Canis lupus familiaris: one gene and its partner. The protein of the gene in region 2 interacts with the protein of the main gene of each other region in a pairwise test. Links are inferred from orthologs where the notes say so. Each region holds a gene or a part of one and is shown on either strand. Other genes may lie near its edges.

Region 1 (4,985 bases), about 30 Mb from region 2:
GCCCTGAGGCCCTGTCCCCTTAGGAATGTCTCAACTGCCATCAGCCTGTTGAAGTAACATAGTGGCCTCTGGCCTGTCACTGCTTCCAGTGTCTCGTATTCCGTGATGTGGCCCCTCAGGCTCCTGTGCACTTCCTGGTCATTCCTAAGAAGCCCATTCCTCGGATTAGCCAGGCTGAAGAAGAAGACCAGCAGGTGGGAAGAGCAGGGCCAAGGTTTGGCTTGTGGGGGTGGGGAGCCCTGGACACAGAGGTTTTGCTCCCTGTGAAGGAAGCCACCTGTCTACCTCCCCTTTCCCTGTAGCTTCTAGGACACCTTCTCCTTGTGGCCAAAAAGACAGCAAAGGCTGAAGGCCTAGGAGATGGATACCGACTTGGTGAGTGACTTTTGGCCTTGAGCTATAAATTCTCATACCTGTCCCTCAATGTAATCTTTAATCTTTGACCTTTTCCATGATCCTGACCCTCTAACCTGAAGCTCTTATTTCAGTGATCAACGATGGAAAGATGGGCGCACAGTCTGTGTATCATCTGCATATTCACGTACTTGGGGGCCGACAGCTCCAGTGGCCTCCAGGTTGAACCGACCAACTGACCTCGATCCCCAGAACTTGATGCTTGGAATGTGGGGGGAAAGGGACCCTATGATGCTAATAAACTTGCTCTCCCTTGATTTTGGATCACTGTCTTAAATATATAATAATTATATATAATATGCATGTTATAGATAATTAAATATATAAAGATTTATACCACAAATAGGAAAGAAAACTGATTAAAGATCATGATCTGAGGGCACCTGGGTGGCTCAGTTGGTTAAGTGTCTGGCTTCAGCTCAGATCCTGGGATCAAGCCTCAGCAGGGACCCTGTTTCTCCCCCTCCCTCTGCCTGCCACTCTGCCTACCTGTATGCCCACAGGCTCTCTTTCTGTCAAATAAATCTTTTTTAAAAAATTAAAAAGTTAATGACCCCTCTTGACTATGGTCTGAATGAGAGACATTAATGAGGCCCATCCTATAGTTAAAGAAGCATTTGCCTATAGATCTGTGAGTCTTCATGACTAATGGTCTACCTGGGTCAAGCTAGAAAAGTAACACAAGCAATAAGCCTGTGTGAGTTGAAAGAGACTGAAACCTAGGAGTGAGGCTTGCTCAATCCTGACTCTCATTTAGATGCCAAGCCAAGTTCTAAGGAGGGCCTGGGAGGAGGATGGTTAATGTGTAGGCCCTTTACTGAAGGAGAAGTAATCACACCAAAAAACTGCTACCCTTTGACTGATCCCTGTGTCTCACCATTTTGTTTTTGAGTTGTTTGATGTGTTTTCAGTCTTAAACATTTTAAAAAGAATCCTTCAACTTTTGAGAATGAACTAAGAGGAGGTTACTGTTGCCCCTACACCAGCACACCAAGTATGCTTTTGTCTGATATCACAGCCCTGGCCTTGTGTCCAACACTAAGAACCACCGTAGAAAGTCTCAAAAGAATCATGCTTCAATGTAGAGGTCCCAGGAGAGCGGAACTTTAACAGCTGGGCTGAGGCGGAACAGAGTCTGGACGGAAAGCAAACTTCCAGAAAGCGGCAGGTTGAAGACTTCCGCCCCGCAGAGAATTTGCCTCCACCCCCACCCAGCCCCTTACGCCCAACTCGCGTTCTGCGCAGGCTCCTGGAATTGTTTGTCGTCTCTATGGCAACACGGTGGCTAGTGCCGGGAGATGGAGGTCCTGGAGTCTACCCGGCGGCAATCGCGGTCTCGGTGAGAGCTGCAGCTTTGGCTGCAGGTATAAGGGGGCAAGGAAGGTCAGGGGACTTACCGTGCTGCGCTTTTGACAACTGTGATGCATTCGCTTTCTTTTAGATCTTTAGCCGTACAGCCTGGCGCTGAAGGGCTCGGGTCCACTTCAGAACTGTTGCCTTCAGATGGCAATCCTAGGTCGGCCCTGGCAGCCACAACTGCTGCAGCTACCGCCGCAACCACCGCCAAAACTGCTGCGTTCTCCACGAAGACCCCACAGTGCCGCTCTGAGCCGAGCGTTCTCCGTCCTCCTGGGGAGCCCTGCACTGGAGCCAGCTTTACTCACAAGATAGGCTGGAGGAGACTTGGCTTTGAGCCTGTCTGTGTTTCCCGTTTCAGCCAGGATCCCTGTACTACAAATGACCTTAGCTCTAGTCCCGTCCCTGTTCCTGGCTCCAGTGCTGGTCCTAGCCATGGCTCTGGCCCTGGCTGTGACTCTGGTCAAGGCACTGGTCCTGATTCTGGCCCTGGTTCTGCCACTGACACTGGGCCTAGTCCAGACTGTGGCCATGACCCTGAGCTCAGCCCCTACAGTCTCCCAAGCTTCAGAAACCCTGGGGAAGAGCTGGTCCCTGACTATACCTCCTGGAATCACTACAGCCACCACTGGGAACCTCAGAAACAACCCTGGAAATTTTTGCAAGTTTCAGGACCTGGTGCCCAAGGGCAACAGAAGACCCCCCAGGTTGAAGGGAAGTGTAAGGTTCTCAATGAAACATTGCCACGGGGCCACTGCCTTCTCTACAACTGGGAGGAGGAGGTATTAAGGTTTTGACCTGCTCCCTTTTCCCAAAGACTACCCCCAGTTTCCTGGGGGAGGCAGTAGTTTATGATGAGGGTGGGTACCATAAAGGATATCATGGTCACTCAACTTGGGGCCCACAGAGAGCCACCAACCACCTGGATCAAGTCCCAAGCATGCAAGATGGCTCTGAGAGTTTCTTCTTTCGACATGGACACCAGGGACTGCTGACCATGCAGCTACCGTCACCCATGTCCTTCAGCACCACCCAGAAAGACTCCTACCAGCCCCCACGAAACTACTATCCGCCAATTCGAGGTGTGAAGCATGAGAGAGTGGGCCAGCATGAGCCCATTAGAGAAAAAAAGAGAGGAAGGAATTCCCAGTAGTACTATGGCCAGTCCAATGGGTAGAAGGGTAAAACCCCATGATTTTCCTTCCTTTTCTCACATTTGTTTCCTCTGGGACTGCTGCTTAACCAGATTCCCCCATTCTCTATTCCCTGCCCTCCCACAGGAAAGCGTGAAGCCATGCTAGAGATGCTCCTGCACCATCAGATCTGGTGAGAGGCTGGGTGAAGGGTAAAGGGGAGGGGGAAGACAAAAATCAGGGAAGAATGGCTCTGATGCCCTCCAGGACTGTATAGTAAAGAGGTGCAGGCAGAGCAGGAACCCACAGGGAAGCACCCTGAGGTCGAGTCTGTGACACACCACGACTACCGAAAGGAGCTGGTACAAGCCAGGCCTCCTGCCCCAACCAAGGTGAGAACTTATTCCATACCACTTATACAGCTGGGCTCTAGTGGGCTGTGGGAAAGCAGCAGAGGATATGAAAGGGAGCACAAACCATGAGTTTTTCGGGTTCTCCTTTTACAGCCTCATGACTACCGATGGGAACAGCCTGAAACCTTCTGGATACAGAGGGCACCACAGCTACCGGTGTGTGAGGGTGTTGGGAGTGGGGGAGAAGAAGGAGGGGAAGAGGCTGCTGTGTTCTGGCTTGGCACAGAGCAGGATCTGTCCTCATCCTGGCCCTCCTCCAGGGTGTCAGCAACATCAAGACCCTGGACACGCCATTCCAGAAGAACTGCAGCTTCTCGACACCAGTACCTTTATCGCTGGGGCAGCCTTTGCCCTATGAACCTGAGAATTATTCCCACCAACTGGGAGAAATATCTTCCCGTGCCTGTCAGGGAGGAGGACAACGTGGTGAAATGGGTAGAACTACTATCTAAGGCTTGAGGAGGGAAGAGGGATGTGGAATATAGAGTCTATCTCCGTCTGTACTGGAGAGGTGGGAAAGAAGTAAATTCTGTCTGTACTTGGTAAAGGGGCTTTCCATAAAGGGTCCTCACTCATCCTGAGACTGCCAATTCAGTGATTCCATATGTTACCATGTTCACACTCCAAAATCTTTCCTTGGACTTGCCCCTAACCCAGACTCTGACACCATGACATTTTCTGTTGTTTTATATTTGGCCAAAATATTCTGGTTTAGATACAGATATTTACAGAAGGTAGGGAAGAAGGGAATCAGGCCAGAGTGAGGCAGGTATATGTACAAGGCTGAGCTGCAAAGGGCAACAACTTCCATATAAGGTAGGGTTTTTGTGCATGTTCATTTCCATCCTACACAACAATGTCCATTTCTGGTGTGTGGAGAGACGGTGACCACTGCCCACCCAGGTACCAGCAGCAGGAGACTGTGTGACTTGGGAAGAAGTAGGGTTTACAGGAGTCCAGCAGGTCCTTTCCGCTCTCCTAGGAGCCAGTAAGTTCGCATCTTTCCTTTTCCCTGGAAGTGGGGGAGTGAAGATAATTCAGATTCTTCTATGTTACCCCCTTTATCTCCCTCTTTTCCCCATTGTCCCCATAATTGCTTTCATCCTCCCTTCCCATGACCCCTCCCCATGGCCCGCCATCACCTTCATCTCCACATCCCCCCGAAGCTCTAGCTGGAAGCATCCTAGTTCATCCAGGGCATCCTTGGTGGTGGAGGAGACATGGATCTTCAGGGCTGGGGTGGGATGGGGGCGAGGATGGTGGGAAGATGAATCAAAGAAAAGACAACAGAAGAATTGGTGGTATCGGAGAGAGCTTTACCCAACCACCACCCATCAGAAGGTTCTCAGTCTTTCCAGGACATGCACTAGAACTAAAATATGTCCAAGGATGGGGCAGTCAGGAGCTGTAGTCTCTGAGCCTGAGAGATTTGGAGAAGCTCTGAAAAGAAGAAAAGGACAACACATACAGGCTGAGGCTAGGGTTGAGGGCTAATGTTTTACCTTGACCATTAGACTCCATTCGGGAAGCAGTGTTCACTGTGTCACCAAAAAGACAATAGCGGGGCATCTTCAGGCCAACAACCCCAGCACAAACGGGCCCTAGGAGAAGAAACAGGTTGGGAGAGCCTGAGAAAAGCAGATACAAGGGCTGGAGTGAGAATCAGCCT
Region 2 (4,862 bases):
TAACAATTGTTCGGCAAAATCCTTCAACAAACTTCACTGTCATAGGAGGATTCCAGAAGGGGATCATTCTCAGAGGTGGGGAGGGGCCGGGCGGTGTCTGCCCCCAGGAGGCCTCGGCGGTGCTGCCGCTCAGCTACTGCTGTGTGAGAGAGAGAAGCTCAAAGGCGGTAGGCTTCCTGGACTGCGGACTCCGGGCTGGGAAACTGCAGGCACCTGGCCTGCTCGCGAGGCCAGGTGCCTGCAGCTCTGGAAAGCCCAGAGGAGGCCCCAGATCGCTACAAACCTGCCCTGAAGGGGGCAGAAGCCAACCCCCTGGCTGCCAAGGCCGGGGCCTGGCTGATTCGGCTGGACTGGTGCAAAACAAGGGAAGAGAGCCCTGCAGAAGAGGCTGTGGGGCCTGGCGGGGCTCTCGGGGTCTCCTGCTGCACTCGCCAGAGGCCTGGAGCCAACAGAAACGTTTCGTCTGATTAGAAGCCATCAGTTCAATCCCAATCCCGGAAAATTGACTGCGGTGCAGAGGGGGAGGCCAGAGAAGCAGCCTTGGACGACAGGGTCCAAGCTAATTAGGAGGCAGCATCCGGGGGCCCATTAGAACGCAGGCTGCTGTCACTCAGCCGGGCTCAGGTCCCGGGAGAAGAGGCCGAGGAAGGAGGGGCCAGCGGCCCCCCGACGGGGACGCCGCCGGGAGCTGCCGGAACGGGCCCCGGGCTCTGCCCCCGCCCTGGCGCTGGCTCGGAGGCGCCCGCTCCGTGCGATCCTGCCCCGGGAACATTCTCTCGTCCTGGGCTGTTCTCGCCGGGGGCTGAGGACTTCGAGGCGGCCCAGACAGGAGTTGATTCTGCGCAAAACAAGTCATCTGGGGCTGGAGGTGGGCACGAGCCGCGCGGGACTTGGAGACCAGATGCGTTTCTTTTGTGCGGCCGAGGGAGAAGTCGGTGTGTCAACGGGGAAGGAGGGAGCGGCGCGGCGCGGCGAGGCCGCGGGGGGTGGGGGGAGGGGGCGGGAGGCGGCGGGAAGGTGGCTGCGGCGGGGGAGGGGGACGGGAGGGGACGGGAGGGGGAGGGGGAGGGCACGGCCGGGGGAGGGCGGGCGGCTCGGGGCCGGATTCCGCCCGCGCTCCCTCGCTCGCCGGCTCCCTCCCTCCCTCCCTCCCTCCTTCCCTCCCTCCCTCCCCCCTCCCCAGCCCCCTCCCACCCGGGCCCACCCCACCCACCACCCCTGGCGCAGGGACTGCTGGAACCTGGCGGTGCGCGCTGTCGCTTTAAGACAGCCTCTGCCGGCGCCGTACGGAGCCTTAGAAACCGGCCCCGGATCGGGAGCCGGAGCCGGGGCCGGGCGGGCGGCAGAGGCCCGAGCGGCGGGAGCGCAGCGCGGAGCGCGAAGCCGGGGATCCGGTCGCGAGAAACCGCTGCCGCCGCCGCCCGCCCGGCCCCGCAGCCCCGGGCGGTCCATGGGGCGGGCGCGGCGTCGCTGCGGGCCCGGGCAGCCCTGGGGGGCAGCCGCTTAGGCGCTGTGCTCTTGTCCCCGCAGGTCGCAGCCAGGGCGGCCGGGCGCGCCCGGCCCCGGCCCCGGCCCCGGCCCCGGCCCCGGCCCCGGCCCCGGGAGCGCCCGCCGCGGTCCCCGCCTCCATGGACGCCTTCAAGGGGGGCATGAGCCTGGAGCGGCTGCCGGAGGGGCTCCGGCCGCCGCCGCCGCCGCACGACATGGGGCCGGCCTTCCACCTGGCCCGCGCCGCCGACCCCCGCGAGCCGCTCGAGAACTCCGCCAGCGAGTCGTCCGACACGGAGCTGCCAGGTAAGCGCGGCTCGGCCCGGCGCGGGGCGGGGAGCGGGGCCTGGCGCCCGCGCCGCACGCTCAGGTTGCCCGAGCCCCGCGAGCTCCGGGACCTCTTCTCCCGGCCTCCGTCGGACCGGGAGCGCGGAAATCTGCGCGCTTGATGAGACGGAATTCCGTGCTCTGCTCCCAGCCGGTGCCCACGCGCCCAGACCCCGGCAGATGCAGGCACCGACCACGGGAGGGTCGGCCCGACAGCCCCTCTTGATCGGGAGCAGACGGAGCCGGAAGAAAAAGAATTCGGTTTGCGCAACGAGTGCCCAGGGGGCCGCTCAGACCGCAGGACAGTAGGTGGAGAGAGGAACGGGGCGGCGGGCGAGAGACGCTGCGCAGGGAGACGGGGTCACACACCCCGACAGGCGGTGGGCACGGATGGAGAGGGAGAAATCCAAGAGAAGGGGTGGCGGGAAAAGTCAGAGAAACAGACTGCGGGGAAGGGGGGACCACCTCAAGTAAAAAAAAAGAGGGCAGCGAGGGCGAGCGGGCCAAGAGGTGCGGCTCAGCTGGCGGGCAGGCCCCCCTCGTGGAGGGACCCGGGAGCCGCCAGGCCGCCCGGCCAGGGCCCGGCTCGGCTGGGGCGCGTCTCCCTCCGCGCCGCCGTTTTGCCCCCCGAACTCAGGCTGCTCCCCCGCAAGCTGGCCGCGAGCGGGGCCGGCGGGTGGGCGGTGCGGGCGGTGGCGCGGCGGATCCTCGGCCGCTCGCGCCCCCGGGTCTCCCGCTCGGATCCCGCGCTCCCCGTCCCGCCGGGCGCCCTGTTCCCCGGGTCGTGGGCGCCTCCGCTGTGCTTTTTTCTTAATCCACCGCTGAGTGTTTCTCTACGCGTTTTTAATCTCTATTTGTTTCTGTTTTGCATCTCTAAGTGACTTTCTCTGAGAGGTTCTGTTTGCTTGGCTAAGAAAAGCAATCCACGCTGGACTGTACTTTTGTTTTCAAAAGTTTGAAGCGTGGCCTTTGGTTGGTTTTTACTTTTTAAAATCTGGAGAAATATACAGCGAGCGATTGCTTTTTAAAACCAACTCCGTGAGGATATATTAAATTTTTTAACTGTGTTTTTCGATATAGAAAGAATCACTACGCGAGGCATATTTCTCTGGAATTTAAAACATCCACATGCAGCATTATTCTTGGAGATTTTTAAAAGTCAATCCAAAATGGCGCGTTTCTCCGGGATTTTTTTTTTCAAAATCCATTTGCAGCAGTGTTAGTTTGGTAATTTATCTAACTATAGTGTTGTATTTCCCTGCGACTTAAAGACTATCCCTAGAAGGGCATTATTAGGAAGGGGCTAAAAAAAAATCTATCTACAACAGTACATTAAGTTGTTTTTTTTTTTATCCCGGAGAAATAAATGCCCGCGTCTGCCTGGAGTTTATACGCGTACAGCACTGTATTTAGTTAGGGGTCTGTTTGCACGGAGGTTTCTTGCTTCTTAATTTGCATTTGCTCTGTGTTCCTACCTGCCTATTTTTAATAGTTTGTGAGCCTTTCCATGGTGTTGGGATAGAATTGAGTTTATCTGGGCTTCTGTATTTTGTTTTTAATTTTTTTGTTTGTTTGTTTCAATGTGTCTATGACTGAATGTGTTTTGTGTACCCTGAGAGAGCGAGAGGCTAGAGCCCCAGGTCACCTAGACAGAGTGTGTGGGTCTGGGCTGCCGCCTGAGGGCTTTTCTGGGCCTCTGGACTTGAGGCCTGGAGCTAAGGCTGAGAACACAGCTGTGTTGTGCCTGCCCAATGTGGCTCCCACACAGCCCTGGGGAGAAGAAAGTAGAGGGGCTGCAGGTTACCGCCTGGCTCCTGCTCCACCGACCCACTGGCTTCAGGCTAGCCAGATTTGATATCAGTTCAGAAGAGCAGAGACACCCCCAGATTTAAATGCCTAAAAGCCCTCAAAATTTCATACATTTGCGGGCGACATAGGCAGTAGGGCTTGAGCCTGAGCCGAGCTGCAAGGGCAGGCCCTGCCCAGTGGGGAACCTAGGCCGGAGCCTCGGGTTCCCTGGCTCTTCGGGGCCGTCCGACCAAAGGTGACTAGTGAGGATCAGGCACCCGACAGGCTCTTTCCAGCGGGAACAAAACTAGGGTTCCTGGCGGGAGGAAGGGCCGCCAGCGCTGATGGCTGGCGCTTCGGTGGAGCCGGGACGGGGTGCGAAAGGGCATAAACCCAAGGTGACTAGGGCCTGTCCTGCCCGATTCAGAGAAGGAGCGCGGCGGGGAAGTCAAGGGGCCGGAGGACAGCGGTGCGGGAGGCGCAGGCTGCGGTGGCGCGGAGGACCCCGCCAAGAAAAAGAAGCAACGGCGGCAACGCACGCACTTCACAAGCCAGCAGTTGCAAGAGCTGGAGGCCACGTTCCAGAGGAACCGCTACCCCGACATGAGCATGCGGGAGGAGATCGCTGTGTGGACCAACCTCACGGAGCCGCGCGTGAGGGTGAGCCCAGCGTGCGCGCCCAAGGGGACCCGTGCGGACCGCTCCTGGCCGGCTCTGCCGCAGCCCTCCAAAAGCTTTAGACCGGCGCTCAGACTTTGTCTCCGTCCCACCACTCTCCACCGGAGAGGAGGATTCAGCTTTAGGCCCGGGTGTTCCGGGTGTTCCGGCGGCTCCTGCTGTGCCCTTTGGTGGTTAGAGCCTTCGGCGGCTGTCGCCTGGCCTATCCTAGTGACCCTCAGGCTCTACTGCAGCCTCACCCCAAGATCTGTGGCCCCATGGGAATTTCCCCTGCCCTGCAGGGCCCAGACCCCATGCGGATGTTAACACCCTAGACTGCACGGAGGATTCCCCGCCAAGGGGGCCCTCGGAGCTGCGGGCCGCCTTCCCCCAAAAACGAAAGGGAAAGGCAGGTCTTGCCTGGCAACCTGGCAGAGGCCTGAAGGGTACCTAGGCTTGCAGGTCTCAGAACCTCCTGGGGCAGTGGTCCCAATCATAGCCTGCTTCTGCAGAAGCTCAGCACAGTCCCCACCTGACTGGTCTCCAGCCAGTCAGCCAGTGAGTAGCTGGACCCTTTCCCTGTTGCCCTTTCCTATAGGGCT

The links. The genes of interacting proteins can lie anywhere in the genome.
Region 1: the proteins of PITX1 (region 2) and SPAG8 interact in binary tests that used the Homo sapiens proteins (3 or more experiments, as listed by UniProt). The link is inferred for Canis lupus familiaris from reciprocal best matches to the Homo sapiens genes PITX1 and SPAG8.

Annotation. Positions count from the first base shown.
Region 1 is NC_049232.1:52,633,457-52,638,441, reverse strand, and holds SPAG8 (sperm-associated antigen 8), read left to right. Parts: upstream 1-1,592; 5' UTR 1,593-1,712; coding exon 1,713-1,753; intron 1,754-1,855; coding exon 1,856-2,552; intron 2,553-2,677; coding exon 2,678-2,852; intron 2,853-3,050; coding exon 3,051-3,096; intron 3,097-3,180; coding exon 3,181-3,295; intron 3,296-3,409; coding exon 3,410-3,472; intron 3,473-3,576; coding exon 3,577-3,768; 3' UTR 3,769-3,897; downstream 3,898-4,985. Other genes in the region: HINT2 (histidine triad nucleotide-binding protein 2, mitochondrial), read left to right, coding at 90-194, 303-375, 489-580; NPR2 (atrial natriuretic peptide receptor 2), read right to left, coding at 4,263-4,328, 4,459-4,550, 4,819-4,917. UniProt on the Homo sapiens protein: Microtubule inner protein (MIP) part of the dynein-decorated doublet microtubules (DMTs) in cilia axoneme, which is required for motile cilia beating.
Region 2 is NC_049232.1:23,086,268-23,091,129, reverse strand, and holds the start of PITX1 (pituitary homeobox 1), read left to right. Parts: upstream 1-1,536; 5' UTR 1,537-1,628; coding exon 1,629-1,794; intron 1,795-4,030; coding exon 4,031-4,263; intron 4,264-4,862. UniProt on the Homo sapiens protein: Sequence-specific transcription factor that binds gene promoters and activates their transcription. May play a role in the development of anterior structures, and in particular, the brain and facies and in specifying the identity or structure of hindlimb.